Schizosaccharomyces pombe: one gene and its partner. The protein of the gene in region 1 binds, or shares a complex with, the protein of each later gene. Each region holds a gene or a part of one and is shown in the gene's direction. Other genes may lie near its edges. The genes, in order: lsm2 and lsm5.

Region 1 (3,549 bases):
CGTTTAGTACCAACACGATACCACTTTGTAACAAAAACACTTTTGCCAACTTAGCTAACGTACGCTCGAATGTCCAAAATGGAATACAAACTGTTTGTCAGCGTTTAGCATTGTAACTTCACTTACCAGATGATACAATTAAAAGTAAAACAGCCGAAATAGTGCATGTGGAATAGATGAGAGCCTTATTTAAGTTCAGATCGCCAGATTTGACGCAACCAAAGAGTATACAACAAATGATTAACCAGAGTAACCAAATTATAATCATCATTTCTCTTCTTATGTTGAAAAGGCCAATAGAGATCACCTTTACACATTGTGCCAAGAAAACTACAGTCACCTTTATACATTGTGCCAAGAAAATTACAGTTACTTTGACTGCCTTGATCCAAGTTTCATAGAAGTCTAATGAGTTAGTGACTGAAGGTAAGAATTGACCTATCGTGTCACTTACACCATAAAGAAATAAAAATCATTAGGCAAATAGCACACCACACTCCAAAATATACCCATTCATCTTTGCCATAATCTTTAAAGAGAGCGTCCTTATACGTTAGATAACAAACTGCGGGTACGTTTAGCACAAAGATTGAAATGAATGATAAAAATGCTTTTTTCAACGGAGAGGTAGAAGAATTATCTGCCGTCCCGGAAGAATGGTTTTCTCTATGTGTAATAGAAAGACTGTCTTCACCATAATCCGGAGGAGTCGTAGACTCGTCCGTATTAAATAAGTTAGGGTTGTTAGCTCCCATTTGTTTGGGATCCTTTAAATTTATATTTTCTATATTGTTAGCAAAATTCAATGGTAACTTTAGAATATTTTTTAATGGGAAAGGAAAAAAGAGCGTGCCCTGTTAGACGAATTTATACTCGTAATATGTCAAGTTGTAAACAAACAAACACAACAAAAACATTGTAAATCAAAACAAACAGACACAGCAAATAATCCTTGACACACTCAATTCTTTATCTTATCTACCAACAACACAACACTTACCTGAATATGGAGGCAATGTGCTCCCATCTTCTGAATTGTATTCTGGGAGAGGACCTTTTTCCAAATCAATTTCATTATCGTTTTTTGCACTCAATTCATCCATAGACGACCTCAAGGGGTAATATTTATTCTTCATTTTCTAACGACAGTCTATTATTTAATGATATACACACAAATAGTTCAATTGTTGTGATTGCGACAAACGAAACAGCAAAATCAAGAATATTCACTCTGTAGTCCAATTCCAATCGCTTTAAAGACTTTTTAACAAAATAATAAAATTGTTCAAACAAATTTCCAACTAATTCCTTCAAACAATGGCATAAAAAAAGAAGAACGAAAAAACTGAACGAGGCAGTGAATTGCTTCTGACACATTTATTTTGTCACTGCCCTTTTTATTCACCCCAACTTAGATTTCCTTAAAACGTTTTTGAGAAGCAAAACGTTGTAGTATAATATAATGTCAGCTACGCAATTTGGTATCTGCTTTAACGATTACATAGAACTGCGGTAATTTTTCCTTTGTGACCTATGATATTACAATACACAGGTACTATAAGTAGCAACTGAGTTTAGGTATTGTACTATCAAGTTGTATTGTTATCTATTGCAAATACAACTTATAATTGTGTAAGGAATGAGGTTTAGCAGTAACTCTATTTACGTTGTTTAGATGATTTGGATTTTAATAGATTATTGTTAAAATTAATATCAACATCGTATCATCTGCGGTGCGATATGTAAATGGAACATGTGAACATATAGTGACACTCAACGTACTGTATCATAACTAATCTCGGTGACAGCCTTAATATGATTTTTTGATTTCGTAAATCCTCGCAAAAAAATGTACGAGCTCCAACACAATACCGTGTAAATGGGCTTTGCCTGTACATGACACATTCTTCTGTTCGCTGCATCTTTCTTACTTCATCCAAAAGCGTGTAAAACGAGTCTTCTCCCGATTATAATGTTGTTTTACTCATTTTTTAAGACATTAATAGACACGGAAGTTACCGTGGAATTGAAGGTATGCCCCTACTTGGCTTTTTTGATCGCGTTATGAGGTTAACCAAACTATAGAATGATATGAGTATCCGAGGAATTTTGAAATCTGTTGACCAGTTTTTAAACGTTAAGCTTGAAAATATTTCTGTGGTCGATGCGTCGAAATATCCTCATATGGTATGCTTTGCAAGTTATCGGGAATTGAAAGAGAAATAAATGATTTCTACGATCGGTAGGGTTCGGTTTATTCATTTTATTTAGGTTTTTGATTGATTTTTGAAAAAAGTCTTGTCCAAATCGATTATGTACAACATCTTACATGAGAGGAACATGAATCAATCAGCTTTCCCAACGTATATGCTACATTCTCAACTTTTAAAATCTAGGTTTTTCATTAATTGAACAATTTAAGACTGATCATAAAGTGCGCCTCACTTTCTGAATTCTTCGATCTATCCTTTTTTTTTCGTTCCTACTCTTAACACTATCTCGTGCTATTATTCCAGAGTTATAACTAATAATTTATTAGGCTGCTGTTAAAGATTTGTTTATTCGTGGTAGCGTTGTTCGTTACGTCCATATGTCAAGTGCATATGTTGATACTATTTTATTAGCTGATGCTTGTCGTAGAGGTAAGCCATGATTTGTTAAACACTGAAATTTTAGCCTTATTAACTCACTGGTTTTTAGACTTGGCTAATAATAAGCGTCAATAATTCCTTTGAAAATTTCCTTTTTTTGGTCAATATATTCGGAAACCGTGAACTAATTGCTTATTTAATCGTAGTTCGGTTATTCATCATGTGTCCCATTGCGATTTTTTTCATGCCCGCAAAAGGAATATACATGTGTATATACATCATTTTATTAAGGACCATTGTTGTTTGAAGGTATTTTCCTCCCCTTTCATTCATCCATATTCTTACTACCTTTTCGCTTTTCTTTTAAATCCAGCTTCCCTATTATGCCTGAAACCGATCCCTTAAAATTACCGTTTTATTATCTTCAAAAAAAAAAATTAAGTAGAAAATTGTTGGCGTTTACATGATTTTTGTGTACGGCTTCTTCCATTAATATAGTTGATGAGACTTTGTCAATTATCATAAAATACATACATCGTTACATATCGGTTTATTGCTGCGAGAGGGAATTTTTAGCACTCATGCATCATTAGCAACAGAGCGTTTGTATTACTTTAAAAGATATCCACTCAGATTTGTGTTTTACAAGTCTAATTCTTCTTCCAATTTATTTTACTGATTTCATTTGTAGGATTCAACCGATCTCACCTTTAAGCCAATCAGGCACACTCTCTTTCATCGTTTTTTTAATATATTTTGTATTCTTTTAAGATCTTCCCAGTGAATGATACGATTTTACTTTTTTAGTGTTCTTAGTTTTATTCTAAGTTAATCATGAAAAACGTCTTCTTTTTAAAAATAATTGAAATGTTCAGTAGTAAGTTGAAAGTAAAATCGTATTTATCTACTACATACGGTTGAGCAGCATAAGTATGATATCGCATTTGCTGCCAACTAC
Region 2 (3,467 bases), on another chromosome or scaffold:
CTTCTTCAACTTCTCGGTTAGTAGTAATCTGGGATATTTCTGTAGAGGAATACTTATTTTGACTAGCCACTTCATTGATCAGATTAGTGCAGACAGACAGCATTACATTACTAGGAATTTCATCTGAATCAACATTAGACAGGGCATATTGAACAAGTTCGAGTAATTCCAAACGCTTGTCTGGTGGCTGCTGGACCCATATTTCTAACAAGTTAGGCAGGAACATTGCTAATTGTGATTTTGTCAGTCTCTCGCAAAATATACGAAGATGTTTTGCATTTGTTAAATTCCTTAACAGCGATTTGGTACCACAGACTGATATAATACGAAGCAAGATATCCTGAACTTTAGAACGTAAAGTTGTGTTCTCCTGTAAGTGCAAAAGACTTGGTACACAAGATTCACATATGCGAATTATATCATCGTTTTGAATGTAGACTAATACTTGAAGAACGTCCAATGCATTTTCAAATGGGGATAAATCGATGACTTTCGGTGCTTCGAGTATTTGGAGCTTTTTAAGAAGAAAAGAGGTAACAATATCACAATGTGTATTTGTTACAGCAATTATGAGTTGTGACGCTAATCGAGGTTGAGTGCTGAAAAGGCTCCAAACCTGAGGAAGAATACACGAAAAATATTTCTGTGGTGAGATATCCTTTGGAACAGATGAAATCAGATGAGCGGCCTGTCGTGCGCGTTCGATTGAATTTGGCTGTGCTTGCATATAAACTTTGAGAAATCCTTGCACGCCAGTTTCTCTACAAAGACAGGTAGTTAAATAATGTTTCAATTTATCTTGCAACCAGTTATCTACATTCGGTTGTAATAGCGATAAACAAGAAGAAATCATTTTAGATGGATCAACCATTTGTGGAGACATTATGCTCGTTACTTTTTCTTTCCATGAAGGGTCTAAAAATAAAGGCCTGGGTTCTTCAATGAGAGAACCTTGTTCATGGCAGTTCAACAAATATAAATGAAGCAACAATAAGTCGGCATAGTGAAGGTTAAGTGGACCTTGTAATAAACTTGGAGTTAACAATAAAGGAAGTAAAATATTGTAAATTTGGACCAGATTTTTTTTGGGGGTATAAATAGGTAATGCCTTAATTTTCGCTTGCGATAGCATTTCTTTGGGGAGTTGAGTATAAACACCAAGCAAAAATGTAAGATGAACAAAAAGCTGCAAACATCGTAGAGAGGTAACACTTAAGGGTTGGTCTGTATCCAACTTTGAGATTTCCTCTAGAAGATTGAGGAAGTAATTCAATAAATCACCACTTATATTATCCTTCAATTTTTCAATTACAGGACGAGAATCATTCTTTTGATTTAAAAGCTTCGCAAAATCTAATAACTTCTGATTTGCATCCATGCGGAATATTGCTTGTAAAGTTCACTTGCTAAGTAGTGAACGTTATAAGTAAGTGAAGGCAAAAAACCAACTCTTATACTTTCCGTACTAAGAAATAGCAATAGCAAATATTTAGAATATGAGAACCAGGTACGGAAACCTTAATTATTTAACGAACTTTGTGGCTAAAATATGTGGATAACTAATTCCTGATCGTAGCAATAAATACTTGGGGTAAGTTATAACTAGACAGCTTTAGCTTGGATTCATTCAAAGAAATGGATCGCTATTCGACAACTGTGTAATTTTGACAAACGACAAGACCAAAAAATAAGACCGAATAAGATGTCCACAGTTTTAATGAAACGATAACCTCTTATTTATAAAATCTTCAAGATTCCAATAAATGATATTCCCTTAACACTATGTGTTCAGGTAAAATGATAGCATGGTTCTTGTATAGTAGCAATTTATGTGAACTTGCAATCCACCTCCACCATGTCGATGACAATTTTACCTTTAGGTATGTAGATTTATTAGTACATTCTAAATTAGTTTCATAATAAGAAAAGGGAAAAATTATTGATTTATGCCCTGGGTAAATCTGTTCATGCTAACAAGCAGAATTAATTGATAAATGCATTGGATCAAACTTATGGGTGATCATGAAAAGTGAACGCGAATTTGCGGGGACACTTGTTGGATTCGATGATTATGTGAATATTGTTCTAAAAGATGTTACAGAATAGTATGAAATATAATAACTTTAATTATCTTTGCTAATTTCTATGAAGTGATACTGTTACCGGCGTTACCGAAAAACACTCTGAAATGCTTTTGAACGGAAATGGGATGTGCATGGTATGTCAATGAAAATAATAAAGGAATTTTTGTACACTAACTATCTAGTTGATTCCTGGTGGAAAACCCGAATAAGTTGGTACTTGGCTATTTAACAGTCTTTTGAAGATGAAGGAAGAGTGATTTTTGTTATTATCAAACAAATGGAGATATATTGCACGCCAAATCTAGCTCATACTGTGTGCACTCCATATATGGTAAAATATCTAGACCCAAGTCTCACTTTTTACATTAATTGAACAACAAGCGTTGGTAAAGCCATGTCTTCGGATACGGTTAAATTTGATCGAGTTATTTAAAGAATTTGATTGCAAAAATAAGGTATTTTATAGGACTGGTTGCATGTTTCTGAAATGAGTGATTATTCAAAAATAAAGGCTTAATACTTCCATCCTCCATAATTTTTCCTATTAGTGATTGTATCTCAAATTATACTACCAAAATGAATTGTTATTTCAGATGATGTAAACTGTGTTAAAGTTAATTGTTTGAATGTAATCTGACTGTAGAAATTGGCATAAACGGGATATGCATAGCCTACGATGATAGCAATTTTTCTTCTAATTTGAAAGACAACATACTAAACATTGATTTGAGTAGCCTTTACAGGATCTTACTATTCAAGTTATCTCTTCCAGCCCATCTGGTTGAATCATACTGACTTTTTTTTGTTCATGTTGGCCAAAATGGGGATTTATTATGATTATACACTGGAAAAAGTATGAATATTTGTTGTTTATCATTAATATAAACTAAAGTGACTAACCTTGTTATTGTAAACTCAAAATTTTGAGAATTAGTATCTTCAGCAGTTTTATGAAGGAAACGAAAAAGTAAAATTAAAATGAAAACGAAGTTTAATACTTTGGATTTATATATCTCATCATTTATACATTTGGATTATTAAGAAATTTTTGAATCCTCTCTTCCCTTATCCCTAAATAGTTAGAGAAAAACGACAAAACTCAGCTAAAACCATTAAACTTTTTCGTTTTAAATTCCAATCTCGTTGCTTTTAGGACTTGACTTTTTACATAGATGAAAATCACTATCGTAATGCTTTTGCTTTTTTTCTTTGATTTCTTTTTTTTGGCAGATTACAGCCGTCTTTCAATATAAACGCTATATTACTACAGTCTTTGTAAATATTATCTACTTGGTGCGCAGGCCAACCCGATTATATACTTTGATTTAAATCCCATTTAGCCTTAGAATTTTCGTAACAATAGCTCTGGACTCCTAGTAAAAC

What was found.
Region 2: lsm2 (region 1) and lsm5 share a complex: the UniProt entries of both Schizosaccharomyces pombe proteins name them as parts of the heptameric LSM2-LSM8 complex.

Annotation. Positions count from the first base shown.
Region 1 is NC_003421.2:2,143,348-2,146,896, reverse strand, and holds lsm2 (U6 snRNP-associated core protein), read left to right. Parts: upstream 1-1,911; 5' UTR 1,912-1,972; coding exon 1,973-2,032; intron 2,033-2,085; coding exon 2,086-2,187; intron 2,188-2,539; coding exon 2,540-2,642; intron 2,643-2,700; coding exon 2,701-2,726; 3' UTR 2,727-2,948; downstream 2,949-3,549. Other genes in the region: wtf meiotic drive antidote Wtf23, read right to left, coding at 1-90, 127-405, 455-784, 1,001-1,136. UniProt on the Schizosaccharomyces pombe protein: Component of LSm protein complexes, which are involved in RNA processing and may function in a chaperone-like manner. Component of the cytoplasmic LSM1-LSM7 complex which is involved in mRNA degradation by activating the decapping step.
Region 2 is NC_003423.3:3,299,449-3,302,915, forward strand, and holds lsm5 (U6 snRNP-associated protein Lsm5), read left to right. Parts: upstream 1-1,846; 5' UTR 1,847-1,855; coding exon 1,856-1,880; intron 1,881-1,981; coding exon 1,982-2,105; intron 2,106-2,151; coding exon 2,152-2,218; intron 2,219-2,266; coding exon 2,267-2,293; 3' UTR 2,294-2,687; downstream 2,688-3,467. Other genes in the region: RNA polymerase II nuclear import protein Rtp1, read right to left, coding at 1-1,378. UniProt on the Schizosaccharomyces pombe protein: Component of LSm protein complexes, which are involved in RNA processing and may function in a chaperone-like manner. Component of the cytoplasmic LSM1-LSM7 complex which is involved in mRNA degradation by activating the decapping step.